7 linked regions of the Nothobranchius furzeri genome follow. The protein of the gene in region 6 purifies or fractionates together with the protein of the main gene of each other region. This does not show direct contact. Links are inferred from orthologs where the notes say so. Each region holds a gene or a part of one and is shown on either strand. Other genes may lie near its edges. The genes, in order: cct5, bag2, hsp90ab1, pin1, lrrc59, raf1a and timm50.

The links.
Region 1: the proteins of raf1a (region 6) and cct5 purify together in Homo sapiens (affinity purification with mass spectrometry; 3 studies listed by BioGRID and IntAct, with this or other methods). This does not show direct contact. The link is inferred for Nothobranchius furzeri from reciprocal best matches to the Homo sapiens genes RAF1 and CCT5.
Region 2: the proteins of raf1a (region 6) and bag2 purify together in Homo sapiens (co-immunoprecipitation; 3 studies listed by BioGRID and IntAct, with this or other methods). This does not show direct contact. The link is inferred for Nothobranchius furzeri from reciprocal best matches to the Homo sapiens genes RAF1 and BAG2.
Region 3: the proteins of raf1a (region 6) and hsp90ab1 purify together in Homo sapiens (affinity purification with mass spectrometry; 8 studies listed by BioGRID and IntAct, with this or other methods). This does not show direct contact. The link is inferred for Nothobranchius furzeri from reciprocal best matches to the Homo sapiens genes RAF1 and HSP90AB1.
Region 4: the proteins of raf1a (region 6) and pin1 purify together in Homo sapiens (co-immunoprecipitation; 3 studies listed by BioGRID and IntAct, with this or other methods). This does not show direct contact. The link is inferred for Nothobranchius furzeri from reciprocal best matches to the Homo sapiens genes RAF1 and PIN1.
Region 5: the proteins of raf1a (region 6) and lrrc59 purify together in Homo sapiens (affinity purification with mass spectrometry; 3 studies listed by BioGRID and IntAct, with this or other methods). This does not show direct contact. The link is inferred for Nothobranchius furzeri from reciprocal best matches to the Homo sapiens genes RAF1 and LRRC59.
Region 7: the proteins of raf1a (region 6) and timm50 purify together in Homo sapiens (affinity purification with mass spectrometry; 4 studies listed by BioGRID and IntAct, with this or other methods). This does not show direct contact. The link is inferred for Nothobranchius furzeri from reciprocal best matches to the Homo sapiens genes RAF1 and TIMM50.

What each region holds. Positions count from the first base shown.
Region 1 is NC_091747.1:54,098,038-54,102,063, forward strand, and holds the start of cct5 (T-complex protein 1 subunit epsilon), read right to left. Parts: upstream 2,801-4,026; 5' UTR 2,647-2,800; coding exon 2,542-2,646; intron 2,172-2,541; coding exon 2,111-2,171; intron 1,980-2,110; coding exon 1,815-1,979; intron 1,414-1,814; coding exon 1,215-1,413; intron 1,090-1,214; coding exon 897-1,089; intron 804-896; coding exon 654-803; intron 565-653; coding exon 445-564; intron 368-444; coding exon 182-367; intron 105-181; coding exon 1-104. Other genes in the region: mtrr (methionine synthase reductase), read left to right, coding at 3,494-3,637. UniProt on the Homo sapiens protein: Component of the chaperonin-containing T-complex (TRiC), a molecular chaperone complex that assists the folding of actin, tubulin and other proteins upon ATP hydrolysis.
Region 2 is NC_091752.1:19,643,860-19,648,095, forward strand, and holds the start of bag2 (BAG family molecular chaperone regulator 2), read right to left. Parts: upstream 2,801-4,236; 5' UTR 2,547-2,800; coding exon 2,422-2,546; intron 2,238-2,421; coding exon 2,128-2,237; intron 533-2,127; coding exon 138-532; 3' UTR 1-137. UniProt on the Homo sapiens protein: Co-chaperone for HSP70 and HSC70 chaperone proteins. Acts as a nucleotide-exchange factor (NEF) promoting the release of ADP from the HSP70 and HSC70 proteins thereby triggering client/substrate protein release.
Region 3 is NC_091742.1:8,415,726-8,419,957, forward strand, and holds the start of hsp90ab1 (heat shock protein HSP 90-beta), read right to left. Parts: upstream 2,801-4,232; 5' UTR 2,660-2,800; intron 1,897-2,659; coding exon 1,753-1,896; intron 1,683-1,752; coding exon 1,476-1,682; intron 1,393-1,475; coding exon 1,233-1,392; intron 1,135-1,232; coding exon 1,001-1,134; intron 932-1,000; coding exon 623-931; intron 553-622; coding exon 387-552; intron 295-386; coding exon 104-294; intron 1-103. UniProt on the Homo sapiens protein: Molecular chaperone that promotes the maturation, structural maintenance and proper regulation of specific target proteins involved for instance in cell cycle control and signal transduction. Undergoes a functional cycle linked to its ATPase activity.
Region 4 is NC_091744.1:9,158,834-9,162,894, reverse strand, and holds the start of pin1 (peptidyl-prolyl cis-trans isomerase NIMA-interacting 1), read right to left. Parts: upstream 2,801-4,061; 5' UTR 2,678-2,800; coding exon 2,620-2,677; intron 1-2,619. Other genes in the region: ubl5 (ubiquitin-like protein 5), read left to right, coding at 3,226-3,281, 3,750-3,833, 3,916-3,953. UniProt on the Homo sapiens protein: Peptidyl-prolyl cis/trans isomerase (PPIase) that binds to and isomerizes specific phosphorylated Ser/Thr-Pro (pSer/Thr-Pro) motifs.
Region 5 is NC_091756.1:45,077,348-45,081,525, reverse strand, and holds the start of lrrc59 (leucine-rich repeat-containing protein 59), read right to left. Parts: upstream 2,801-4,178; 5' UTR 2,388-2,800; exon of another isoform or gene 2,297-2,387; intron 2,270-2,296; 5' UTR 2,179-2,269; coding exon 2,080-2,178; intron 1,984-2,079; coding exon 1,924-1,983; intron 1,589-1,923; coding exon 1,430-1,588; intron 1,038-1,429; coding exon 933-1,037; intron 862-932; coding exon 789-861; intron 608-788; coding exon 422-607; intron 332-421; coding exon 51-331; 3' UTR 1-50.
Region 6 is NC_091755.1:58,347,345-58,351,265, reverse strand, and holds the end of raf1a (raf-1 proto-oncogene, serine/threonine kinase a), read right to left. Parts: intron 3,683-3,921; coding exon 3,563-3,682; intron 3,422-3,562; coding exon 3,397-3,421; intron 2,935-3,396; coding exon 2,825-2,934; intron 2,751-2,824; coding exon 2,633-2,750; intron 2,455-2,632; coding exon 2,370-2,454; intron 2,280-2,369; coding exon 2,103-2,279; intron 2,035-2,102; coding exon 1,988-2,034; intron 1,904-1,987; coding exon 1,785-1,903; intron 1,694-1,784; coding exon 1,562-1,693; intron 1,085-1,561; coding exon 950-1,084; intron 875-949; coding exon 725-874; 3' UTR 501-724; downstream 1-500. UniProt on the Homo sapiens protein: Serine/threonine-protein kinase that acts as a regulatory link between the membrane-associated Ras GTPases and the MAPK/ERK cascade, and this critical regulatory link functions as a switch determining cell fate decisions including proliferation, differentiation, apoptosis, survival and oncogenic transformation.
Region 7 is NC_091753.1:57,198,088-57,202,373, reverse strand, and holds the start of timm50 (mitochondrial import inner membrane translocase subunit TIM50), read left to right. Parts: upstream 1-1,486; 5' UTR 1,487-1,504; coding exon of another isoform or gene 1,505-1,522; coding exon 1,523-1,726; intron 1,727-2,950; coding exon 2,951-3,107; intron 3,108-4,286. Other genes in the region: clip3 (CAP-Gly domain-containing linker protein 3), read right to left, coding at 1,505-1,542. UniProt on the Homo sapiens protein: Essential component of the TIM23 complex, a complex that mediates the translocation of transit peptide-containing proteins across the mitochondrial inner membrane. Has some phosphatase activity in vitro; however such activity may not be relevant in vivo.

The sequences.
Region 1 (4,026 bases), on a different chromosome or scaffold from region 6:
GCTATCTCTGAAGCTCCGCCCCCATACACAATACGGTTATCTTTCACCAAATTGCGGATTACACACAGAGCATCGTGGAGAGCACGCTTGGCTTCCTCAATGATCTAATGAAAAGGTTTTGACCATTAGACATGAATGTGATGAAAAAGGACAAAAACGATACAGCCTTGTGAGAGCGTACCATTTTGTTGCCGCCTCGGATGAAAATGGTTACAGCCCTGGTGTTTTTGCACTCCTGGATGACGAGCATGTGATCCTTGGTTGTGCCAAAGGAGATCTCCTTCACCAAGCCAGCGGTTCCGAGCTTCTCTGGTGTCAGCTCGCAGAACCTCGGCACAATACGGCCTCCGGTAGCTATAGCAATCAACTAACAAAACACCAAAGGGTGAGCTCGTAGCAAGGGTAGCTCATTCTGACCTTTCACATGCAAGACTTCTACCTCACCTCAATCTCAGGCCCTCCAACCCAGCGCACAGCAGGCAGCTCGCTTTGCAGCAGAAGATGGTTGGCCTCATCATCAAAGCCCCACTGGCAGATGGCCAAGTTAGCACCAGTGCTTTTGACCTAGAATTAAGGTGTTTTTATTCTTCCTTGATTTGCATGAACCACAAAAAGTCATTTTTGTAGCATCGGGATTTGTGAGAATTACTAACCTGCTGGATCATCTCCTCAAACTTCTCTTTTTCATAATTCTGGAGGGCTTTGTAGTCCTCAACGGAGGTCACATCCAACTTGTGTTTGGTCTTGGGTTTAGGAGGCTCAAACGGGCAGGTTAGAATAGCGATTTTAACATCTTTGAGAAGCTAATTGAAAAGAGAATTTGTTAGCTCAGGCACGTTAAAGCATCACAAAAATGCAGCAATATTTACAACAAACATTTATATTTTAAATCATACCTTGGGCATCTGAGGGTGGCTGAACTCCTTATCCACTATGACTCCCTTAATGAGCTGTGTGTCCTCCAGCTTTCCTCCCACCTTGCCCTCCACCTTGATGAGCTCAAAGTCTACATCCTTCCTTTCCATGTCGGCCACAGTGAGGATGGCATTCACTGCAATTTCCGCCATCTGTCTGTGGCACCGGTTGATGCTAGATAACAACAATAGGATTAAAAGGTGATTTGTCAAATCTCAATAACTCACTTAAAAAGCAGCCAGGTCACAGGGGCACAGGAAAATGGCATCAACAACTACTAAAATAATAATTTAATTTACACTTTTGACCCCAGCGTTGTCATGGCAGTCTGAATGAGTGGTTCGGTGTTGTTGGGATCGAAGGGGAAAGTTTCTGCTATTTTGTCCAGCTGCTCTATGGCTATGCGTGCAGCTTGGTCGTAACCATCGGAGATCCTGATGGGGTGGATTCCTCGGTCCAGCAGCTGCTCGGCCTGCTCAAGCAGCGATCCAGCCAGCACTGAGGATGCAGGAAAATAGGTAAACAGAGTCAGAAATGCATTAGAAGAGCAGTAGGTAGTGGAGGTAGACCGTTATGGGGTTTTCTTTCCCCAATACCAACAAGTATGAGTCATTGCCGATACGAGTTGTCACTTTTTGGCCGATATCTAGACATTTTCTGATTCATTTGCATGCTAAAATGCCCCAATAGTAGCAGCACACAAATCACTTTTAGGAACTCATAATTTACCTGCCAAAACCTAATTTTATGCACTTTACCGAATTAAAACTATTTAACTAAAATAAAAATATCAATACTAACCAAGAATTCTATATAAAATTAATTAACACAGAACATATATCACATGTTCATCTACAAAAAGCATTCACACAATGTTCCTTCTGCACACGTTTACACACCAACAACTCCAGTGGTTCCATCACCAATCTCATCATCTTGGGATTTGGACAGTTCCACCATCAGCTTGGCAATCTGGTGGTCCACATCCATCATGCTGAGAATGGTGGCGCCATCATTAGTGACAGTTACTTCTCCATCCTTGTCAACCATCATCTTGTCAAGACCTAAACGGTGACATGACATGGTAAACCTGCTGTGTTTGTAACTAGATTAAATTAATAATCTAATGGTCACACAGACTCTCGACATCTCAGCAGTTATTCAAGTGAAATGACATCACTGCACTGGATCGTACCGTTTGGACCCAAAGATGTCTTAAGCGTTGATGCCACTGCCTTGGCTGCCATTATGTGAGACTGTAAAACAAAACAAGTGCATATCAAAACACATTTTACCTCTAAAAGTCACCCTCAAAAGGCATGTAAACAGCGTGTCGGCTGTATGGGTGATGTACATGACCATGCAGGGTACAGCCCTATGTAGCACCTCCTACTAGATGAACGCACAGGGAGCACATGGGCCTCTTCTTAGCATAGCTAACGAATTCATTTCATTTCCTAATCTAATTCAGCTTATTTTGCACAAACATCAGAATGTGTTGGACAAATTCACTCATGCAACACAAAGCCGTATGTATAAATTCGTGTTGTAACCAAATTAAATATCTAATAGCAGGTTTGCTTGTTAGGCCATCACGCTACATGTATGCTAGCTAGCTCATTGTACCTTCAGTGCATCAATGCCCGATAAGCGTGTCTTCTTGTCTTGGTCTTTAATGATGATGAAGGGCCTTCCATATTCATCAAAGGCTAATGTGCCCAAAGTGGACATGCTGATTTGGAGTTTAGAACACACAATCGGCGTTTATCTGACAGAATAACGCGTTTAATGATGTGATCCTGGAGTGTGGCTGAACTGCAAGCCGCACGGATCTGCCGGGGACTTCTGGAAGGCTCCACGGGTGGGGAGGGCGGAACCAAATTCAGTTCAGCGTGTTTTCTTCCATTCCTGTCACCTTTTTTATAAACGACAAAAGGCTTGAACAACTATATCATAAATTAGTCACAATCATACAAATTAATATCATTGCAACTGACAACAAATTTTAAACAAGGGGAACGTCTTTGTCGTAACTTGGTTTGTTCCGATCACGCGCAATCTCAGTTTGAGCTCAGATCTCGCGTGAATTCAGTAACAAGACTAATTACCGGTATGTTGGCAAGGAGTTGACGAGGTGAATTTTCATACAATTTAAAAAGGTAGAAATACTTTATTAACTTTAAACTGCTTGTATTTCCTGTGTATTTATTACGGACTAATGCCAGAAAACACGATTCTCTAAAGAAAGTGAGTCGAGTTTCTCGGAATTCCGAATTAGTTTACGGACCAAATATGAAATGTTATGTTCATAAAGTGTTCTTGAGTGAAAAACGTCCACGTGCGCTGTTTTGGTAACTAGTCAAAGTTTGACGCAACATCCTGGTACTGACGGTAATGGTGGCGTAGCGGTGTGTTAAACGTGTTTCTGTGGCAGCCTGCCTTTTATTTGTCCAAGTATGTTGGTAAGCTGAGATGTTTGTTAAAATGCAGCTGATAATTGATTAGTTAGTCTCACTATTTTACCTGTGGCGTTTTAGAATTGCCTAAATATTTATCTGTTTATCTGTTTCCCCCCAGCATGCCTTGTGAGGTGAAGCATCGATTTGTGGTGCTGTTTGGGTCCCAGAAGGGCCAAGCTCAGGCTATAGCTGAGGGGATAGCCGAGGAGGCTGAGGAGCACGGTCTGACTGCTGATCTCAGCTGCTTGGACCAAAATGAGAAGGTAGATGTTAATAAATTTACGTGAAACAGACTCAGTAGCCGCAGGAATTTGCCAGGGGCCTCGTGTATTAGGACGAGTCTAGCAGGTCAGACTACTCATGTATTAACACTAAATCATCGTAGCATGCACCCTTTTCCCACACCTATTTCACGGCTGGCTTATGTGCTTTTCTACCTTTACCTGCGTGTTTGGTGACACTTAATAGTGGGCTTGCAGGGAAACAGTGAAAATAAATATTGTTAACACCAGATGCACAAAAAATAAATAATAACTTCACGTGTTGCAATTACATTGTTGGATAATAAAGCATGCATATTATGTGTCCAGTGTTCACTTATGCTCAATATCACCTTTGATGGATCATATGAAGGAATTGTGCGTAAATCCGT
Region 2 (4,236 bases), on a different chromosome or scaffold from region 6:
AATTCGGTATGGCATTTTCCCATAAGACCTCTCCTTGCTGCTTCAAGCAGAGTCCATCTGAAATTAATTAAATGTGTAAAAGCTAACTATAGCTTTCTGTGAGGTTAGTGGAATTCAAGACACCTCGGCAAAGGGTCTCAGTGACCCCCGTTAGCTTTTGTGCCCTCCAGTTTTTGGTGATCCATTATCTTGATGTTCTTTTCGGCATTTTCAACGTTCCTCAGCAGAGTCTCCAGCCTTCGCTTTATCTTCTTCTGGTCCTCCAGAGCGCAGCTGATCACCACGGTCTGAAACTTCTGGTCAATAGGGACGAGCGGTGCCTCCGTGACGCAGGCAGCGTGCAGGGCCAGCAGCTGCTGACGGCCACCTTCCATGTCGCTCAGCAGCTTTTTCACAATCTCGTCTATCATAGACGTGGCCTTGAGTAGTGCATCCTCCTGTTGGGGGTTTCTGATTGTGCCAACAGAGATCTCCACAGACAACGTTCGGCCCATCAGACGGTTCGCAGTCAAAGATAACTCTTCCCTCTCACCTAGAAGACATGTAAACATATTACTAAATCTTTATAGGAAAGAAACTGCTTTTAATGCGGCTGTAACAGCACATCAATAGTCATTTCATATTTCTAAAAGTTTATTTCAATGAGTACAAGCTCTGATTTGTCTGAGATCCCACCCCACACCATAATACTGCCCCCACTGAAACCTGTTAAGCAATATTCATGATGTTCTCCATGATTCTGCCAACTTGTCAATAATAACAAGCTGACACCAAAATACCACTGATATTAATTGGAAGAAATGAATGCAATAACATTTCCAAACATATTTTTTATTGGGATGGACGATGTTTCTCTGGAGCATTTTTTGCCATATTGCTTGTTATGGTCATCACATCGTACAGCAACCAATAAAGTAAATGCTTTGTCGAAAAACTAATAATTTTCATTTCCTCTGAAACATGCAATCCCGTTCTTAATGACTGAATCATGATCCATCCATCAAACTCCCCTCTGACAGTCCCTCCGCTGTATGCGCATACCCGTATTTGTGGATGTATTGCGCATTCTTGGCTTAGAGTAGTTGAACAGGAAGCAAAGTCGGAGCCGGACTGCCTAGTGTTTAACGGACAGAATGTTCGGTTATGTTTGCAAATTTTATTCAAAGATTAGGTTATAACTCATCTTTTCTTGTCATCTAGAATCTTCTGGTGCTGATCTGTAACAGGCCCTTTTGCGCCATGAGAATCTATCGTGGCTGCAGGAACTGAAGTAGGGATAATCCCAACCCACCTCCCCACCTAGTGGACACTTATATTGTGTAATGCCTGAAGTCTGTTGCATCTCTGTCGGAGGTGGGTGTTTTTTTTTTTTTTGCATAGCAAAGCTGCCTTCCCAGTGGAGGGTAACTCTGAAGTGCCTTTTTTTCCCTCCACCTGAACCAATCCTCATGTAACCCTCTGATCTCAATTAGCACGACTCAGGGTTGCGAATGACCACAGTCACCAATTCTTGTCATATGTCTTGCCCATGTATGTCTGATCTCTGAATTGTGTGTACTGAAACTCTAATTTCCCTCTGGGATTAATAAAGTATCTTTGATTTGATTTTGATTGACACTCACGGCAGTGACTTTTGCTTACAAATGTGGTCTGCAGTAACCAAATTTGACCACAGGATGTCAGTCTTACATAATGCACCTTTACATAAAGCCCTTCTTTCAAATCCCTGACCAGTTGAGAGGAGTTTCTAGGTGAACCATGGAGCTCGTGTGAATCATACTAACTTACATTAATGAGGTTTAATGGAGCATAAACCAACATGACTAGACGGTCTACCCTGGTCAGACTCTGGATTTAAATAATGAGCTTTAAGGGTTAGGCCTTTTTGTCTGTTTACAGCGGAACCAAATCAATAAACCAGATGTAGGCTATTGACTCACACGATCCAGAGGTGAAACATGAGCCTGGTTCACACAAACTGGGTCTGGGTGAGATCAGAGGAGATGGGATTCTGGTAGAAATACATTAACCGTACTAGTTCCCCTTTATAACCGCGTATCTTCCCTGGCATTAAGCCGTGCGTGACTTTTGCGCTTATGTAAGTTAAGAGAGAGTTAGCAGCTTCACCAGCACAGATGTTCCTCATTTCTTGACTGTTCTGTATGGACTGAATCATTTCCAGGATGCACTCCCTTTCCTGCTCCATGGCAGATGCTGCTTCTCGTAAAGCCTCCACTCTGACACAGAAAGAGAGACAGCATATGAAATAACACGCTGCAAACCAGTTATGTTTGTTATGAAAAACATTTATTGTCACATTGCCCTGTTTACAGTGTTTATAAAAGGTTTATGCCAATAAATGTTAGCGGCCGGGGCAAATAGCGGCTCCGTAGCACACATGGTACAACAAGGGCCTGTTACCTCGTTTCCAGCTGATCCAAACTTTCCAGGAGTCGCCCCGAGCGGTCTGCCATAGAAAGCGTCCTGCTGAACTTGCTGCAGAGGGCAGCTTCGTTCATTTTCGCTTGTATTTTCGCTTGAGCCATAATGAAGACGAAGATGATGGCTACAGTGCTTTCCCTCGGTGAGCGCAAAATCCAGTGTGTGTCCCTCCGAGCCGTCCAGCTGGGTGTAAATCCTCGGACTGAGGCAGGCAGCAGCAGCGCCCCATGGGGGGAACATTTCCTAACATGGACTTCCTTCACTCCGGCAGAAAGTTCCCGAGGAGACCAGAGCTGGAGCTCCCAATCGTAAGGAGCGTGGACCAGCAGAGGTCCGTGAGCAAGCTCCTCCAGGTCCACGGAAATAAAAGACCTATAATGTTCCAACTCACTTTGCAGTTTTAAGTAATGTGTCTTGATTTATTTGGGCATAATTTTTATTAGGCAGATTGGTAAAGTAATCAAGTTATTCTGATAAACTTATCCAGGCCTATATATATATATATAATTCATTTTCACTCCAGACTACAGATGAAAGCCTGTGGTGGTCTGCAACCCGCAACTCTGGAGCCACAGTGGACCTTCCAGAATGGCTTTTACTTTATAATAATCATAGATATAATAGAAAAAGTGAGATTTAAGCAGCCTTTTGTTATGGATTAATTGAACTGAATTCCCACAACGCAGTGACACCTGTCATCTAGAGGTGAAAACTGCATTACACCCCTAGGCCTCTCAGTTTCCATGATTATGGCCTTTTTATGAACAGTCATGTTGTGCTGTTTATCATGTATATTTTAAAGACTTACTTGTCCATAAGAAATGTTACCAACTCTGCATCAGTCTGGGCTCGTCTTCCCTCTGATCACCTCTCCGTCCAATCTTCTTTTCGAGCTCCCCATGTGTATGTCGTTTGATGGCTTCCGGGGGAGCTGATTACCCTTTTGGGGGAGCCGTGATTTCAACCTCCCCCAAAAATCGCCAAGAAAATTTCAAAAAGATGTATTGCCTTGGTTATCACAGTACAGGCTTTTATGGATTAAAAGAAAATCATAAATAATTCTTGGAAGGGGGGAAACTCCAGGTTGCTGCTTTAAAGTACCCATGAGATTTTTACATCTATTTTTTAAAAATAATTTCCCTAAATATAAATATCTGGTACAAAAAATACATTCATACACTTTTGGCAAAAGTTTTCTTCCTAAACTCAAAATCTAATAGGAACAAAATGGTGTAAATATTTATGAGACGTCTAACCTTAACCTCAGAATTCTGATTATTTTTCCCTCAGAAAAGAGAAAAAGAACTTCTTCTTCAGTGGCCCTAATCCTTTTATGTAAATAGTTCAACAATTATAAAGATCTTGTTTCAAAAGGTCCTGTAACAGTTACCCATGGTCCAGAGAAGCTGTGGTGGACGTCCCTTAAGGTGGCCACCCTAATGCGTCATTCCCTGTTTTGGGGACATTTATAGAAATGATTAACAAGAATTATTTTGGGGAAAACTACATCCACACAAACAAGGTGATCCCAAACCGACACAAGCAGATTTCACAAGCTCTTGAAAAAAATTCCATCTGTTCATTAGAAGTTACCTGTTAAACTGTAAATCAGCACAAGTGCATAAAGGCTCCATCTGAAAACTTCACCAATATCTGAATGAAGTGTAAATCAAATTTAATTTACACACACACAACTACCTTTTATGTGTTAAAAGTTACAAGACATCAACACATTTATCTGAACAGCAATAAGACAGAAATTCTTCTTGTCGGAACCAAATGTATGATTACTAA
Region 3 (4,232 bases), on a different chromosome or scaffold from region 6:
AGCAACCAAACATGATCTTTAAATGCAAAATACAGCAATGCGTCCCTCAGTTTATAAAACACACCAAGCCAATTCAGATGAATCCACCATTTAGTTTCAATACCTTCATGTTCTTTGAGAAAGCCTCGTAGAATTTCTTGTAGTTGTCTTTGTCCTCCGACAGTTCTGCAAACAGCTCCAAGCACTTCTTGACTATGTTTTTGCGAATAACCTTCAGGATCTTGCTTTGCTGCAGCATTTCTCTGGAGATGTTGAGGGGCAGGTCCTCAGAGTCCACAACACCACGGATGAAGTCTTGAGTGGACAAAGTAATTTTAAATGCATTAGCCATTTAAAGAGTCTGTGGAATCATTTCAGACCACAGTGGAAAATGCAGCTGAACTTACTCAGATACTCAGGAATGAGCTCCTCACAGTTGTCCATGATGAAGACCCGCCTGACGTACAGCTTGATGTTGTTCTTCTTTTTCTTGTTCTCGAAGAGGTCAAAGGGTGCACGGCGAGGAATAAAGAGCAGGGCTCTGAACTCCAGCTGGCCTTCCACAGAGAAGTGCTGAAAGAAAATAAAGCATTAGAAAAAAAATCAGCCCGCAGGGTTAAAACTTTGTCGGAAACTCGTGTACCTTGACAGCCAGGTGATCCTCCCAGTCATTTGTTAGACTCTTGTAGAATTCACCATATTCTTCATTTGTGATGTCATCGGGGTTCCTGGTCCAGATGGGCTTGGTCTTGTTCAGCTCCTCCTGATCAATGTACTTCTCCTTGATCTTTTTCTTCTTCTTCTTGTCCTTGTCTTTGGAATCCTCCTCATCATCTGAACCCACATCTTCAATCTTGGGCTTGTCTTCAGCTTCTTCTTCTTTCTCCTCTTTCTCGGTCTTTTCCTCCTCTGCCTCGTCGTCACTAATCTCCTTGTCGCGCTCCTTCTCCACCTGCGACATAAAAGCTTTAGAAATCTGCCCAAGACTTAAAATTTTTAAAACGTACTTTTAAGCACTTACAAACAAGGTGATGGGGTAGCCAATGAATTGAGAGTGCTTCTTAACGATCTCCTTGACCCTCTTGTCCTCCACATACTCTGTCTGGTCCTCCTTCAGGTGCAGAATGATCTTAGTTCCACGGCCAATGGGCTCGCCTGAAAACATTTGAGGAATTTTCAGAAAAGCTAAAATAAACTAGAGTAAGCAAGTAGTGCACACTCAGACGTCACTGGTGATGGTTAGAATTACACACCGCTGTCAACCTTGACTGTGAAGGAACCTCCAGCAGATGACTCCCAGGCGTACTGCTCATCATCATTGTGTTTGGTGATGACGACCACTTTCTCAGCAACAAGATAAGCAGAGTAAAAACCCACACCGAACTGACCAATCATTGAGATGTCAGCACCAGCCTGGAGGAATAAAACAAATTTAGCTTCACAAGATCAGTCAGTCTCTTAAGATCCTGTGCAGGCCATTATGGGATGCGTAGTACCTGGAGGGCCTCCATGAAGGCCTTTGTGCCCGACTTGGCGATGGTGCCCAGGTTGTTAATAAGGTCAGCTTTGGTCATGCCAATCCCGGTGTCAATCAGGGTCAAAGTCCGGTCAGCTTTGTTGGGAATGATGTCAATTTTCAGATCTTTGCCAGTGTCCAGTTTTGAGGGGTCAGTCAAGCTTTCATAGCGGATTTTGTCCAGAGCCTGAAAACAGGGAATAGCGGTTAGTTTCTTCCTTAAAGTCAGAAGAATACTGAAGCTTCAGCAGACTCACATCAGAAGCGTTTGAGATCAACTCCCTAAGGAAGATCTCTTTGTTGGAGTAGAAGGTGTTGATGATCAGGGACATCAGCTGAGCGATCTCTGCCTGGAAGGCAAAGGTCTCAACCTCCTCCTCTTGGTGCATTTCTTCAGGCATCTGAAAATATAACAAAGTCACTTCAGTAAATGAAAGTGAAACAGAACTTAAGATAGTTTCAAAGTAACGCGATTTCGTCAAGTGGCTTCATTAAGTTGGATGGCCGCTGCAGCAGTCTGCTACATAAGGGCGGAAGTGTCAGTTAACAAACATGGCTTCTACTAGACAATGGACGCAGCAAACACGTGCTGGCGAACGATTAAGGCGGATCAACTCAAGTCACTTTAATAGATAAACAATGCGACGACGACTTCCATAAATACTACAAACGTACTTGTTTTAGCCTCCATGTGATAGTTTCAGTAAAACGTGGAGGTTAATTGAAACCGCGTTCAATTACGTAACGACCAAATGAACACTACCCCTCGTGGCTGGTAACCAGGCCTTATTACGCACACATTAAACTCAGTGTACCGGTTTAACGTGGGTTTATAACGGATTTAATCAGGCCGAGAACTCGATCCAGCGGAGTCACCGTCACCACACCTGCCTGACATCACGGTGCCGCATTCCCGCTGCTCAAGAGCATCACTACGATGCTCGGAAACATAAGCAAATAGTAGTCTCTCGAGAGGAAAATGAAAACATCAGCCGACGTACTAGGCGTCTGTCTTCCACGAAACACTTATTCGACCACCATATTAACCTCTGGATTTTCATTAACTAATAATGTTCGTTAAACACATACATACCGATGATATTTTAACAAACTTATAAAGGTAAGGATGTCTGACACGAGCTACGGACCCGTTAATGTACGCACCTTGGTAATTTCGTTGACTTTTTCTTGAATAAAATGCAGCAAAAGTGTAGTCCCTTGCGCTCCCTGACTGAAGAAAAAGGAAAGGAACTACTTTTCGGCACCAGACCAGTCTTTATACACGTGGGTCGCAGTGTGCAGTCGTATCCATCCGCAGTTCACGAGCTACAACCTGAAGCAATCACTTTTATGTAAAACCGCAGCCAGAACTAAACACACATTGTATGCTTCCTCACTGGAAAAGAATAATCTATTATTCACGTTTTGTTGGGTAAAAAGGGTTTAAATGCCAATTATGCAATCTAAGTAAAGAAAATGTATACGAAGTCGGACCTTAGTGTAACGTTGTCGCCATCTTGTGGTAGGTTGAGCTACAGCAAACCATGCACTGAGAGGCGATGTTTTTTGATCTCAATCATCCCATCTAGCGACAACATAGAGAAATGATTCGCATAACACTAAAACCACGCGTCAAGTTCAAATCTCAAGTGGCGTCTAGTTTCCCTGAAATTCGACATAGACTGTGGGTCTTTTTACTCCGACGGATGAATATTTCAAACACGAGAAGGTGTGCTTCGTTTCTTCTAGCCTGCTTCTAGCACTTTCCATGAAAGCCCCGCCTTAAAGTGACGTCACAGATCTCCCCCTTTCCTCTCCCGACGTATCATCTGTCACAAAATGTTCCTACAGCAAAAACGCCTTAACAACCATCAACTCAACCCTTTTCCGTACTGAATCATGAGAATATATGCTTTATATTGTCAAATGAACTAATGGTTGTTATTATATGAATTACAGATTTTCTTATGGACATAGAACACCAGTGGAAGATGGACTGCTATACATAAATGTAATACTATATTTGTCATGTTGATCACGACTTTGGAATTGAGTTTTTAGTACAGTGTAAGGGGAAGAAGTCACTGTTGTCAAGTGGATTAGAGTGGAATAAATGTACGCAGTTAGACCCATCAAATGCAAGAGATGCACAAATGATTATGATTCAGCTTTCTATTATGTAGTTTAACTACAGAAGACACATTTATAAATTTAGATAGTAACCTCAGTGATAAATAACAGAAGTACAGTCATACTTTGCATACAGAATATGTTATTTATTAGTTACAATTTCAGAATTGGTAAGAATGACCATTTTAACAATAATGTACACAGAATTTTTATGTACTCTTTTAAAAAACATTTAAAAAGAAGTTTAACATTGAAATAATCATATGATGGCTTTATCCTCTAATTGATTAAAACGAGTAGGAAAATCACAATGCTGTTTTTTTATGTGATCAGATGTTTTGTAAATTAAACCGATTAGAAACAAATCGTTTTAATAAAAAAAATGCGGACCGCTTTTTTGGTGTAACTTAATTTCAATGCTATTATTATTCAACCTTTTTTATTCATTTAGTTACTACCGCGCATTAGGTCTTCCAAGGTTAGTTAGGTAATCTGATCGAACCCTGTTAGCAGAAGTTTCGTTTCCTGAAAAGGGTTCATTTTGCGAATTCACATTAAGCCCCGTTCAGTGTATACACTCTGGTGCACAAAACAAGCGCGCCAGTAC
Region 4 (4,061 bases), on a different chromosome or scaffold from region 6:
TACATCAAATATACACACGAACAGACATCAGCTCATTAATCAACAAGAGGCACATAACAGATAATACAACCTTCCAAAAGGTACATTTTGTGATTGTTTTTGTTATACAGGGTCAATCAGAAATAAACATTAAAGACTTATTAAAGTGAGTTCTGCCTTCTTATTTACAATTAACTTTATGGTGTTAACATATGAATGGAAGTCATTTAAGAAAACGCAAAAGTTAGGGAGAGATTTGGAGACCCTCGCTTTATGTATATGAAATTTCCCTAAAAGAAGCATTAAATTAATTATAAAACTTAACCTTTTATCATTACATTCAAACTTGATAATAACATCCTTAGATCTGATTTGGATAGTGTGTTTGGATTTAATCATAATGAAATTTTCCATATCTTTCCAAAATCCAGATGAGAGAGGACAATTATAAAATAAGTGTATGATAGTCTCTGAACCAGTATGACAAAAGGTACATTTCTCATCCAGATCCTTGAACAATGATAATTTTTTGTTACATGGATAAATATTGTGTAAAATTTTGAAATTAAGTTCCCATATCTTGTTTGAAATACAGTATTGAAAGTGAACCATCCATGCTTTCTTCCAATTTATATCAAACTGTGTGTTCCAGAAAAACGTTCCTTTGGGTGCCACTGTATCAGAACAACATAAAACCTTCCTTATATGCTGATTTGAACATTTCTTGTCTAATAAATCAATACCCCCAACTTTTAGAGATGGCATCTGCAAACTAAATCTGATAAACAAAGTGTGCTCTCATTAACTCAACTATGCCTGAAGAAATGGCTCTCATGACCGAGGCAAATTCTCTGTATTTCACTGGAAAGTCCTTAGTTTTCAAAAAGTTTTCATAGGTATAAAGGCTTCCGTTATCATCAAATAAATCCGCGGCAAAAATGATGCCTTTCTCAACCCAATTCATTTTGTATAAGCTTTTGTTGTTTATGGTAATATTACCATTATTCCATAATATTTCTTTGTGTGGGGAGAAATTATGTGTATGGCATAATTTCCACGCACGTAAAGCCTGCTGGTGAAACATTGAAAGTTTCACTGGTAATTTAGAAATAATAAAGTTGCAACGTAACAGAAAATTTAAACCCCCTACCATTTTAAATAGGTTGTGTGGAATAAAATTCCATAAAGATTCTGGCATTTCTAGACATTTTTTAATCCATTTGACTTTAAAGGTGTTGTTTAAGTGGAAAAAATTTAAGAGTTCTAAGTTCCCCCTTGCTCTTTCCAGATAGAGTATGTCTTTTTTTAGATGATGATACCTGTTCTTCCAGACAAAGTTTACAAATAAACTGTTAATTTCTTTACAAGTTGCATCATTAACATGAAGGGAGAGGGTGGGATATACTAACCTTGATATGCCTTCCGCTTTTGTTAACAACACCCCGCCAAAAATAGAGAGGTCCCTTTGCAGCCACATATTAAGAATCAAATGAGTTTTTTTAATCCTTGATTGCAGATTTAATGTTTGTCTCATCATTTTGTCTTTTATTATGTGAATTCCTAAATATCTAACAGTTTGTTTGATGGGAATATTGAACATATATTGGTCATTGGTTTCATACAAACATAAAATTTCACTTTTATAACATTTAGCTTCAGTCCTGAAGCTTCTGAAAATTCTCGTATTGCATGTAGAGCATTTGGTATCTGTGATTTATCTCTAAGAAACAAGACTGTGTCATCTGCCAATTGGGACATCTTAACTTCTTTATTAAAAATTTCTAAACCATGAATATTTGGATTGTGTGAAATATTTAAAAACAACAGTTCAGCGGCAATCAGAAACAAAAAGCAAGACATTGGGCAGCCCTGTCGTACACCTCTTAATATTGGAAACCTCCCAGACATCTGTGGATATAAAATTATTGAGCTGTTTATATCTTTATAAAGCATTTCAATAACACTAATAAACGACTCTCCGAACCCTAACATTTGAAGTGTTTGTAAAATGAAGGTGTGTTCAATCGAATCAAATGCCTTATAAAAGTCAAGGAAAATCATCAAAGCATTTGAGTTTATAAAATGTGAATAATCGATTAGATCCAACACTAGTCTAATATTAGAGCTAATGTGACGTTTGGGAAGAAATCCGTTCTGGTTTTCACTTATTATCTCACCTAAATCCTTTTTAGTCTTTTCGCATACACCAAAGATAAAATTTTGTAATCAACATTTAAAAGTGAGATAGGTCTCCAATTTTCTATTTTTAAAGGATCTTTGTCTGTCTTAGGGAGCAGAGTTATAAGACCTTGTTTCATAGTTGTTGTGTCTCGCGCTGTTTTGCACGTAAGGCATCTGGGCGGGGTGACGTAATGCAAGGCCCTGCAGCCGAACTGAATGAATTAGCATTTAGCAAACACGAAACGACACCACTACACAACAGTCACAAGCTGCAAGTAAGAAAACGACGTTCTGCACGAATCCGCGCATCGCTAATTAGAAAAACTTATTTCAAATTTCCCATAACTGTTTCTTTCCACACCACAATGCACACGCTGCTAGCAAGTAGGCTAAGTTTACAACACACCATTTATAAAGACGAAAAGCTCTTTTTTCCTTCAGCAGTTTATGTTTGAATACCTGAACTACGGCTCATTCTCTTCTCCCATCCAGTCGGTAAATCCTCCTCCTCTGACATATTAGTTTTCTGCAGCAGAGCTTCCAATTACAATTCAATGCCTCAACGATGCAACAGAGAGGCGTTTGGGCTAATCTATGCGACAGTTGTCGATTGTTTACGGCACACGTTGTTTTCGGTGTACAGTCCGCCCTCTCTTCTCATGCCTACAAGCATGCCAGTCATTTGTTGGTTTATTTGATTGGTTTAGAGGATGATCACATGGCCAAACGTACTTTACGGCTAGTCGTGTCTCGAGAGCGTTCCAGAAAATATCAGCAAGGAAAGAATACTTCTTGATCTTCTATAGTTTTCTGGGTATGTAAGACGCATAGGAAAATTATTTTGTGTAATTTAACGTTTATATAAATGTTTTTAATGAATTTAAGGTAATGCATGTGCTTTGATTTGTCGAATAACAGCACGAGGGGTGTTGATAGCGTGTACACTGTTTTTAGCCAAACAAACGTTGTTTGTGTTGACACATCGTGCTTTCTTATTGTGTGAGTTATTGTTTATTGTCAGACATTGAGTCAATCTCGTCTCATCTTATTTCTGACAGAAGCAAAATGATTGAGGTGGTTTGTAACGATCGCCTGGGCAAGAAGGTTCGAGTCAAATGCAAGTATCCTTCCTTGGACCCATAACAACAGTGCGATGACTTTTTTTTTATTTAATATAAATAAAGATAATTCTTTATATGAATTAACCGGATGAGTCCACCTGAAACCGCCATAAGGGAACCAATCCCTTAAGTCTATTTGGATATCTTTTACCCCACACACAGGAAAACGAATGAATTTGTCCCCTAGATTCCAGTGAATCGTTCCAGTTCATTTATCACTTCAGTTACACATTATTTTTCCTAAGTGTAAGCAGTAGAGAAATGCTGAAATCCCTGTTGAATTGCTCAGAATTAGATTCAGATTAACCTGAAAGTGGAGTAATGATCATATTTGATTATTGAATCTCTGACATCTGAGCAAACCCACCATGTGTGTTTAACTGGAATCCAATAGGTCACTAAAGCACATCTTGAGTATTTTTGAATGTTTTCTGCACTTTTGCATGGCTCCTTAAATCCCAAATTCAGCTCAGAAGATACCATTGGAGATCTGAAGAAGCTCATCGCTGCTCAGACTGGAACGCGACATGACAAGATTGTGTTAAAGAAGTGGTAAGATACCTGTCTGGAAATTATTCTTAATATATTTTTGTTTTGCATATTTCTGTTAATGAAAATTAATTTGTTTTCACAGGTATACCATATTCAAGGACCACGTGACTCTTGGTGACTGTATCCTACACATTTCTGCACTTTTGGGGATCTGGTTATGTTTCCTAAACATGCTGAGTCACCTGTTTCCTTCTGCATATGTCAAGTTCACACGGTGTTAAAAACCTC
Region 5 (4,178 bases), on a different chromosome or scaffold from region 6:
GCAGACAGGAGGAGGGAGAGCTCAGTCTCGTTTCTGCATGCTCCTCTGGATCAGTTCTTAGTTGTTTGTGAAGATTCAACAAGTTCTTTTACGGCGGACGACAGGTTCAGCAGCAGCTGTCTGGCCACACCCTCCTGCACTTTGACCCAGGATACGCCGTCAGTGACGGCGGCGTTGATCGGCACGCAGACGGCTTCCTTCTGTAGGTCGGTGAGCTGACAGGCAGCGACGATTCCTACCATGCCCAACATCAGCAGGAGGAGGAGCTTAAACACCAGACCAATGAGGGAACGGCATGGTTTAGGTGCTGGCTTTGCTGCAACGTTTTTATCTGCAGAGACAAAACGTGACATCAGAACATCTTCAGGCTGAAACTACAAACGTTTCTCATTTCAAACACGAACCATCGCGTTGATCTCACCTGCTGCTTGTCCATTTTTCTTTTTCTTCTCATTTTTCTTCTGCTGAGCCTTCGCAGCTGCAGCTGCCACCTGAGCGTTGTACTCCTTCCTCCTCTTCTCCTTCTCCTCTGCTTTTTCCTGTTTACGGGCCTCCCTCTCTTTGGCCTCCCGCTCCCTCTGTTTGGCCTCCCTCTTCTTCTCCAGCTCTACGAGCAGACAACGTTGGGTCAGTGGGTTGACTTTGATGCTTTTTACACTTTAATCTGAAACCAATTTCCTACAAATGGTCAAACATCTAGCTTCACAAATCTTGATGCAGGAGGTTTTCTTTCACACCATCGATCGTCTCTTTAACACCTTTTGTCTAGAACATTTTCATTTACCCACCTTTTTCCTTTAAAAGACGTTTCTCCCGTGCGCGATCAACATCCTCCTGAATTGCTCTCATGAGCTGCAGAACCTGAGAAATGCAGTCATTAGTTACATGTTTGTTTTGGTGAACAAGCTGATTAATGAATGAGTCTCTGCCACCTTTATGGCACACAGTTTACACTGCTTCTCATCCAGGCAGTCTCCTGCAGCTTTAGCTAGGCCAGGTTCCAGAGGGTTATCCTTCAGATCGAGCCACTTCAGATTCTAAAACACACACACACACACACACACACACACACACACACACACACACACACACACACACACACACACACACACACACACACAGTCACTTTGGACTTGGACTGATACATCAGACAACAGGAGTGTGACATTTATCAAGTTTGAATTGTGATTTTAGCTTCTGATCATAAAAAACAACATAATGAATAGATTTCAATTAAATTGTCACATTCTGCATTGCCAGCATAATTTCTCATGTTTTACAAAGTCAGAGCCAGAGCAAGGGCCCACGGTACAAGAGTAAACCCCCCCACCACAGCTATACAAGGACGGGGAACATAAACAGATCCAGTGCTCTGAGGATCTCCATGTAAAACGGGCGGTGTGTTTGAGCTGCATGGTCCATATCTTACCCTGAGCTGAGAGAAGCTGACAGGCAGAACCGTCAGCTTGTTGTTGTACAGGTCCAGATGTTGAAGGTTGACTAGGTTCCCCAGGTCATCTGGCAAACGGGTCAGCTGGTTTTTACTCAAGTCCAGCTTCACTAAGTGAGTCAGGCTGCAGAACTCTGGCTGCATGAACAAAATAAAAGTAAAAACATGATTGCAAATTATTCAGTTTGAGCAACATCAACCCGCAAACATGCTTAACAATAACAGCAGAAACTAGATGAAAGTGGATAGGTAAACCTCGAGATTTTAGAGTTTATAATTATTTATGCAAGAAAAGAAAAGTTTGAATCACTCTCTCCATTTAACAATGTACAGCTCGGTTTAATAGAAATTCAAACTTTTAAAAGAAAAAGTATCTTTGGTAGCTTTAATGAAACATACTGACGTGGATGCACTCACGTGCTTTCACTTAAAATGCTCAATATTTGCTCTGGATGAGTCAGTTAGACACTTACAGGAAGGGAGATGATGTTGTTGCAGGACATGTCCACGGCAGTGGCTTTGGGAAATGAAGACTGTTAGAGAAAGGAAGGTAGTTAAACCATGACATCACAACATCTCCTTATCTGGCTGTATTTATTACAAACATGTAAACACCCTGAGTGACTTACGAGCTCTTTGACTGGTACCTCACTGAGGTTACTCAGGCTCAGGTCCACTTCATTTCCACTGATTTTATCCCTCAGGTTTAACACTTTGTTTTTACTCATCCTTCAGTCCGAGGCGCCTCTTGCCAACACACCGAGGTTAAACAGATCAGTGGAGATACTTCTGATCGCCAGACAACAGGAAACCCTGAAACTACGACGATTTTATAAGATTTCTCACCTGTAAACGATAACCGTGGAAAACTGCGTCCTAGTTTAACAGCCGGTAAACAACATCGACATATAAGACAAACACACGGCAGGTATATTACGTCAGTTAGAAGAAATTTGGTGCACAAGCTTTGAATCGTGTTTCTGGCAGTGGCAGCACTGACTGAACGAAAATCCACGTCACTGATTGAGCTGCTACGCGGAGACGTTAGCGCAAACCACGCAGCGTCCCCTGCAGGACCGGAGGAGACAAGACGCGCTTTGAATCTCCCTCTCCAAATCCTAACCCGAGGCGCTGTCCTTCTCTTTAGCATGGAGGCAATAGTACATTCATCACAAATTCTGACTTAAGTTTTCTTAGTGCTACTTTAAAGCAGATTTAAAAAAAATCTGTTTTCCCATAAAGTATGACTTAACTTCTGAATGTTTAACCTCCGTGTTTCCTTTTCGGGCCAGAGCAATCTTCTTTACTCAATTGGCCCCACCCCCCTGATTTAATGTGTAAGTGACAGATTAAAAAAGCAGGAGGAAGTGCAGCACAGGAACATTAAATAACTTAATAAACAGTGACATGATTATAGATATCTGTATTTTTTTGTCTTTGTGGCTTATGTAACGAATTAAGGATTAGATTAGGTACTTGTGTATTTATTTTCAATTTTATTTTATCGATGATTATTTAATGAGGTATATGCCACCAAGCTCTTCTACCAAACGTGGAAGACATGTAAAGGGGTGGATGTGGCAGGTTTTGAATGAAAGTACTCAACCTAATACTTCACTGGTGTAAGACCAAAAAAGATTTGTGCCAAATTGGGGCCATTTTAAAGAGAAACCTTGAAATTCCCTTTTTGTTAGCTCAAACATCTTCTCACAGACAGTGCAATGCATACACTTTATTAATCATTTTAATAAACAGCTATGCAATTTGTATTTATTGTTGCTAACATAAAACAATTCTGCACTCAAAAACCAGTTGTGAGTCAGCCTCACAACTTATTTTTGATGTTGTTTTTTGTTTTGTTTCGGAAAGGCTAGTCTGTGCTTAACCAGCTGTAAAACATAAAGCACAAGAACAGACTGGCAGCTGTAACATAGAAAACAAAATAAACTTTGTTGATGGTCTTAATTTTTCTGGTCCAGTAGCTGGTCTTCCTCTCCTCTTGTATGCCACTGAGGAGGACATTCATCGTTTTAATCAAGTCATTTAGTTCTCCTGAGAACATTTCAGAGGAATGTGGTTCCTCGATCAGCTGACTGCCAGAACCCTGAAAAAAAGAAAGTAACAAACAGCACAGAAAAGGTGAATGGGCCATTTGTGTTTTCTACATGTCTTTAATAAATGCCTGTTAGGACCTGTGTCCTCTTGTGCTATGATATTGTATTCTCTTCAACTTAGACCTGTTTTTATTACTAACCCATGCCATTTGCATCATATTTGCTACATGAGTTTCTGAAACCTCTATCTCATTGACATGATCAATATTTGCCTTAAAAACGGGTTGTATATAATCTGATACATGTATTTTGCCTCCTACTGGATTATTATGCCAAACAGGCAGCTCAAGTTTAGTTTTGATCATTCCCAACATGGCTACTCCCAGCGAGTGATCCATTTGCCCTTTGTCAGGTAAATCATTACTAATTTTTGAGAAGTTGTGGTAAGAATAACATAAAAGTTTAAGTAATTTTTAACACAGTCCATCTGACTGTTTTTATTAAGTAACTCATTCTTTATATTACAGTTAAACCATGTTAAAATGTCTGTATCAAATTTGATACTGCAGGTATGAAATGTGCTTTTTCCCAAAATTTTCATTTTGTAATTCATTCTACATAATACTTACTAAAATACAAACACATGCCATTTTGATTGTCCTACAATGATTCAC
Region 6 (3,921 bases):
TTCAAGAAGAATCTGTTCTTGGCTTTTTCACTTAACTTTATTAAAATAGCAAATAAAACATTCAACCTCATCAGTGTGACATAACAAAACAAATTAGTTCCCAAGTCACTTTAAATATTTAAGACACCTGCCGAGCGTCCAGCTCGCGACGCGGAGGGTTCGGTCTAGTGAGACGCTCGCTGACAGACCGGATCCAAAACCCAAAAGTAAAGTTACACAAACAAAAATCCCAAGTCTAGTCCGTTACGATTTAAGACGTAATCTGCTACTGTGCAATAAGATGGACAACTTCCAACGGCTTTGTGATAACCAGAGGAGGTGAGATTGTGCAGAAATACAGTTGAGGTTGTTTCCTCTTAAGGCAGGTAAGCTTAAAAAAAATAAGAGTCCTCTTCGTCGTAAACCAGGGAGGTTTGATCAAAAGGATGGCGTGTGCCTCCTGAGCCTCCTTCAGCGTCCATCCGTCATCTTAGGTAGCACGGGTGTATTTATTTATTTACAAATAATTCACCAACACGAAGCCTCGTTCTGCCTCCTAATAGGGGGATGTACCATATCCTGACCCTCTAAGGATTTCTCTTCTCTTTAACTCACACATTTATTATTTAGCATGTCTGAAATGACAAATGTCTGTAGGGCATCTAAGATTGTGTATTTGTGAACAGGAAGAGCCGTCGTGTGAGGAGAGGAGGAGGAGGAGGAGGTGCCGATATTCTCCAAGAGCTTAAAACAGGCTTAAAACAGGCAGTCTGGTGGAGGTCAGCGTGCACGTGTTGATGTCCTCGGCCTGTGAGGCTCTGTGCAGGGACGGCTCTGAGGCGCTGCGGTTTATCTTGGGGAGAGCGTGCTGGAGGAGCTCGATGGAGGACAGGATCTATGGGAGTAAATGAATGAATGAACTCAACAGGAACATCTGTAATCCTGCCAACAGCTGGAACCAGAGGCTCACCTGAGGAAAGAGCGGCCTTTCATCCTTGAGCTTCTTGATGCAGTCGGCCACCAACCTTTTCATGGCTTTGGGACAGTTCTTGTAGAGCTTACTGAGGTCTGGGGACAAATAGCCTCTTCCCACCATGAAAATGATCTGAACAGAAAACAGGAGACATAAATATGGAGCCAGGAGGAAAACGATCCCGTTTAAAAATCCAGCAGAGGTCAGTGCAAGGGTGGGAGGACAGCTGATCGATGGTGAATCAGCAGTCATTCTTTAGTTACAGTGCGTGCGTCTACGGTGTCAGACACCTAGCACACCAGAGGCAGCTCAGCAGAACAAAGTACCTGGAAAGTGGTCCAGAGCTTTCGTCTCATCTCCATAAGTCAGGCTGGACCTCGTGGCCTGAGAGGACCAACACATCTACACGCGTGCTTTAATGCTCTTCCCTCCCACAGGGTTGTGTTACGAGGACTAAAATTAGGCCAGCGGCTCCACAGAGTCCGCCTGGGCTGCATGGCAGGCCTTAGGCCAGCTCCACAACCCCCTTCACCCCTCCTGAGCTCCACGGTGGGCCTGAGCTCTGACACACGTCCGACTGTGGGCTTACACAGGGACTAAGGTGTTTACCTGATCTCTGTTCGCCGTCTGCGAGTACGGGAGCTCTCCCGTCATCAGCTCAAAGAGAACAATTCCATAGGAATACACATCAGACTGGAAGCTGTAGGGATTATTATCCTGCATCCGGATAACCTCGGGTGCCTGGCAATGACAATAGCAACAGAATCATCACGGAGAGTCTTCCTCGTTCACCGTCACGGTCCCAGCAGGGTTCGAGTAGCAGGTGTCTCACCATCCAAAGAATGGATCCAGAAGGCTGCTCCACCTGCTGGGAGCCGCTCCACCTAGCCTTCACCGTGGCGAGACCAAAATCCCCGATTTTCACCGTCAGCCCCTCATGCAGGAAGATGTCTGCGCTGAGGTCAGGGAATCATAACCAAACACACAGTGGGACGTTTTCATTCACTCACTGTGAGACGTTCAGAGAAAGGATACTGTTGGACTTCATGTCACGATGAATGATGCTCTTAGCATGTAAATAGCTGGAAAAGAGGGACAAAGCTATCATCATCTGATTTATCTGTAACTTGCCGTTGTTTTTTAAGCTTACTCCATGCCCTGAGCCGTCTGCCTGGCAATATCGATGAGCTGGATCATCTTGAAGTTGGTCTCCAGGACGTGAATGTGTTTGTACAAGCTGCTGCCCTCGCACCACTGGGTCACGATGGCCAGGTTGTCCTTCGTCATGTAGCCCATAAACAAAAGGATGTTCACATGTCGCGTTTTCCTGCAACCAGGGGTGGAGGGGAAGAGGAAATCATTATTTTGTAGCTAAACTAAGATTTTAACAGTTAGCTGGTGTGGAACTAGCTGTAACCTTAGGACTGCCACTTCGTTTCTGAACGCCTGGAACTGCTCCGGTGTGGGGTTGGTGACCTTTAAAATCTTCACTGCTACGTCACCTGCAACAAAAATGCACAACTTTGGGTTATTTTGGCCCTACAGGGCTAGTTTGACAAGAAATGATGCATGAAGCTGTAGTTTTTCACGCGTTTAATGAGTCGAAGAACTCCTGAACACATCTGTCAACATCTAAGCCACCGTGTGAGAGGTTCTGACTCATGCTAACTGCATTCCTACCGTGCCATTTTCCTTTGAACACTGTTCCAAAAGAGCCCGAACCGATGCGGGACTGCAGACACACCTCGCTGGCCTCGATCTCCCAGTAATAACTGGAGTCTCTCTTATCCCGGGGCCTCTGCGAGAAGAGAAAGCAAAAAGGTCTGAACACAGAAGCTTCGGCTAACACACACGTCAGAAATTTTGACTCACAATTTTGTTTTTCTCCTGATTGCTGAAGGAGGTGATTTTTTCACGCTGGTGAGGCGGGGGAGCTTTGGACTGGGACCAGCCTGTGGGGCTCTGGTTGGGGGAATTTCCCGCTGTGAAAACAAATAAGTTATTTATTCTTTATTTTGTAATTTTCATACTGCATCAAACTTCCTTCCACTACTTCTGTCACTCATCATTTTGACTTAAGTCACAGCTCAGTGATTATTAGCACTGTTACGACCCCGTGGGTCGTTCTGCAGCTAACGGTTGGGGTAACGCAGAACACCTGATGACCTGGAGTCTTTCTATTAGTAAATTCGGAAGTTTGGGGGCGTCGAGTCTCGGCAAACACCCAACAAACCCACCAGCCTACTTCCAAATCAACAGATTTATTTCTCAAAGCTTTGTTTTGGTTTTAACATCCCTTCTCTTACGCCAACATGATCACCAATGCTAAAGCACTGTGGACAGCTACGGGTGTCTCACCGAGTCTGATTGGACATCACTTCCTTCTAAATGACTATTACATGTGCATGATTAGAAACCAGGAAGACGGCTGAACGGGTACTTACCAGAGTCATGATCACGCATCACATGCTATAGGAAAAAAAACATTATATTAGAATAAATGATCAAATTAGCACAAATGTGACGTGCTACCACTGATGATTTGACGGCTGCATTGACTAAAGATGAGAATGCAGACATGCGCTTCACACAGAGTCTCTGCTTTCTAACCTGTCCTGGACTCACAGGTGAGGTCTCCACAAAAGCCTGGGAGAAGTGCACAATACCTACTTTCCTCTTCAGCCAGAATCTGTGGCACCAGAAGACGGGAGAGGTATTCAAGCAGTCTAGCTGCTCTCCAGTAGGGTACAAAACAACAGACCCACAGGGAGACAGGAGGGACAAAAGGGGACAGAGTCAAGGAAAGAGAGGAAGAACATGTGGATTCCTACCTGAGCAGAAAAAAGGTGGATTATGAAACCACTTGTGAGGTGGTTGTGCAAGACTAAGGATGGAGATAACGCCTAAAGTGGAAGTGAACAAGCGGAAGTGTGGGAAATGTGCAAGAGCATTTAAAACATGCTGAAATA
Region 7 (4,286 bases), on a different chromosome or scaffold from region 6:
TTAGAGTTAGGGTTAGATCTAATCTGCAACCTTCAGATTACAGCCTGCTCTACCTCCTGAGTTCTTTCTGTTAAAAGTTGTGACAGCTCAACTTAGGTTGTTATCTGGATGAACAAGAATGTTTCTGGAACGATGTCCCATTAAATAGATGTTTACCCATAATGCATGACAGCACAAACAGCTGATCCCAGCAGTCAGCACGGTGGTGGAGGGCTGATGGTTTGGACTGGTTCCGACCCAACAGGACTCATTAAATCCACCATGAACTCTTCTGGATACCAAAGCCTCTTAGATTCTAATGTGAAACCATCTGTCTGACAGCTGGAGATCATCTCAAACTGGGTCATAAAAGATAATCATGATCCAGAACATGGAAGCAGATCTACAACAGAATCAAGATGTTGGAGAGGTCCAGTCAGTGTCCAGACCCGAACCAGACTTAGGACCTTCAAAGAGCTGAATGTCAGCAACCTTTAAGAAGAATGGAGCAGAACTCCTCCAGAACCATGATGGTGTCAAACAGAAGATGATTCCTGAGTTCCTGAAGGAGGATCTACAAGCTTAGGAGCTTTAGTCTTTGTTCTGATTGTTTTTCTGTATTCAGTCCAACTGTGGAGAACCCACCACAATCACCTGATTGTGATGGTGGTTTCCTTAGGGTTACCAGTCTCAGTCAGATTCAGGCCTCCTGTAATCTCACGTTTCCATGTTAAAATCAGGCCAAAGCTGCAAAGTGATCCTTTAACACAGATGTGACATTCACTAACAAACTGAATCTTTCGTTCGGCTTTTCAGATTAAAAGATGAGAACTGAATCCTTGTAAAAGAACCATTCCGCTTGTCTACTGGTGACGCCCACACCCATACGAATACGTAAACTGCACCACTGGGCGCTGGAGAGAGTAACAGCATTGCCGCCATATTGGATGGGTTCCGCACTTTCCAAACTAAGAGTGGGGAACTATGCCTGTTTTTGGTGCAGCCTACGGTTGCAACCATAAACACAGAGTGGTTGCAACACCTGGCGCACTGTTGAAAACAGACCACGTGGGATTAATATAGACTTTTCTAGCCTTCCTTTTGGGATTTTATATTTTCATTCATTTTGTTTATATTTACATTTTATTTATCATGCCATACCATGCGTCTGACTTAATGAAAAAGCATAATAAAAGGTTTGTTTTAGTAGGTTTATAGTTTCTCCGTAGATATAGTTGCACGGGGGCAAATAATGACCCATCCAAGATGGCGGCTCGCTACCTCACAAACTACCTACAAAGTCCCATTTGACTAGGGCGAATTTGCCACCAACCGTCATGGTGGTTTTGTGTCGCATCCGAAGGTCAGACTCATTTTCACTTCTGATTGGTCTAAATTTACTAAGCACCGCCCTTCTTTTAACCACGTGGACAACTCCGTTTCTGATTGGACAGTGTACTGGTCCGTCAACGCGAGCCAAACCAATCGCAGATCTTTGTCTTTCAGTCTTGCGTCACACGCTCACCGGCTGCTACAATCCAAGATGTCGGCTGTGTTCCCCATGTGTGTCCGAGCGAGTCACGGCCTCCTGAGGCTCAGCAACGGAGCGGTAGGTGCTTCCAGGCTGGCAGCGATGGATATCATCCGGACACTCTCCACAGACGAGCCGTCTGGCGGACCGCGCGGCGCGACGAGCGGACTAGCTCAGGCTATCCTCCAGGAGCGACTCCAGCAGCACCAGAGCCAGGTGAGGTGCGCTCGGTTTTCTGTCCAGCGGCGAAGGCAGTGCAGTTTGTACGTTTAAGTCATGACTCCGCCCTTCCGAGAATCCCCATTATATCAAACCGAAGCTACATCTAGCCACGGACGGCTAAGCGTTACCTGTGCAGGTTTCTCCACGGGAGGGTTTATATTATTGCTCGTTGGTTTTATGTGTTGCTGTAGCTGTGCGTGACCGTAATCGTGGGGTCTGCAGGTAAAATGCTGCGTCCTCTCTCATACTGACTTCAGCCAAGCTTCATTCTGTTAGAAAAATAACAGTCAAGGTGCTTTAGGCTAGAAGGACAGAACAGGACCTTCTTCTCTCCTCTAACTCATGCCAAACATCTCCGGGATGTTAGAGTACCCATCCATCAGTGTTTGAGATCCCATTGCCCTCATAAACGGTGGCTCTGTCAGAAGTTTTATTTATTTTCTGGCTGTATTGTAAAAATACTCACCTGTTCAGGCTTTTATTTTTGTATCATCTGCAAATCTGTGATTTCACCTGGTCAAAGGCGCTAATCCTGGTTGACCCACCAGATTAAGGACAACATTTGTTGAATTAAATCTTTTTGTTTGGTGCTTAATATCATTTTTGGAGGTAACAAGAGGTCCAGCTAACGTGTCTCAGTGCAGCATCACAGCTTTGACTTGTAATCAGACTTCAAGGCAAGGCAGCTTTATTTTTATAGCACATTTCACACACAGAGGCAGTTCAATATGCTTTTCCATTAGCAAGAATAGCAAGAACATTAAAACCAACACGACATGGCATCGGCCGATACCGACATCGATGCCGATATATCACGCATCCCTAATTATGTCACCAAGATTCTAACCTGGGTCTTTATTCCTCCGGAGACAAGTCGATCAATAACCTCCATCCTATCCTTCAGATTTCCAAAGACAAGAACTTCAGTCGTGTCTTTAACTGGAGGAAGTTTGACTGCATCCAGTCATTAACCTGCTCCAAACACTGGCGGTGTGAGTGGAGAGGACCACAGTCACTATGTGATAGAGCTAGGTAGATCTGGGTGTCATCTGCATAACTATGATAGGTAATGTTGTTATTGTATGACCTGGCCCAGGGGGAGCATGTAGAGATTGAAGAGCAGTGGTCCGAGAATTGATCCTTGGGGGGACCCCACGTGTCATGGTGATCTGCTTTGACTTCAAATGAAATATCTATTGTTATTGTTTGTTTTTCCAGGGCCAGCCACCTACAGAAGAAGGTCAGAGCAAGAAGGAAGGAGAGCAAACAGATGACAAGAAACAGAAGGAGAACATGGCCTATGCAAAAAAAATGGTGCTGCGGTTGGCGGGACTCCTAGGCCTTGGCGGAGCGGTCAGCGTTGTCTACATCTTTGGTGAGTAGGGCTGAACGATTTTTCGTTTTTGGACCGAAATCGTGATTTCAAACAGCACGATCACTAGGGATGCACCGATACAATACTGGTATCGGTATCGGTAAAAGTTAACCGATACCAGTAAATGATACCAATGCAGTTGCTTGACTTGACTTGACTTCACTTTAACTTGTCATTTCTGTTCACCTAATATTTTAGTTTTGTAATCACTTATATTACTTTTTATCTACCTTACAGTCTTTTCCTATTGAAAACAGAAGAAAATAAAACCTGTATTCCAATTCATTTAATTTTTTTGTGTGGTAGAAGTATCTGTATCGGTATCGGCGAGTACTCAGATCCAAGTATCGGTATCAGTTTGGAAAAAAGTGGTATCGTTGCATCCCTAACGATCACGTGACCGTCAAAGCTGCGGTTTTTGCGTTTTTGACTGATGTAACATCCGGGGTTTCCCCGTGTGTTATGGTGGCGGCAACAGGCAGCGCGGGGGAGGGGGTGGGGTATACTGTCCAGAGCCGAGCCCAATTCCACAGCTGACTGAGTTGCAGGTTATCTTCCATTTTAGTTTTCCACACACAGCGGGGGCGCAGTTGAGTGGGGAGAGAGAGACTCCTCCCACATCGGCGGGTTCAGGCTCAACGTCACTTTTGAGATACCCGAACCACCGCCACACTACTGACGTTGAGTAACTTTTCTTCTGAACAATGTCATCATCTCCAGAAGACAACTCCGAGTCATGACTGGGATCTACTTCGCTGTTTTCAGCTCCACGTTTGGCCATTCTGCTTATTAAACCTCTTCCTCGAAGTAGCGGAGCAGGAAAAGTGTAATTGCAAATGCTTCTTCTTTTTGTTAAATGGCAGTGGGCAACCAACGCGCATGGAGTGTTAGCGCCCCCTACTGAGGCTGCACACATCTGTTATTTCTGATCGAGACTCCCAGCTGATCACCGTAATTGAACTGAAAATGATCGTGATCACAAAGTGCGATCATATGATTGCCCAGCCCTAGCGTGTTCCCCTGTCCTCCGGGCCACACACACACACACACACACGGGACTGTCTCAGCTGTTATTTTCGTTAAGGAGTGTGCACGTACAGCATGCGCGCCTCGTGCACGAGCCTACTATTGAAGCTGCCGTTAACGCTTTTGGCCTGAGGGGGCGATCGTGAGCATAAA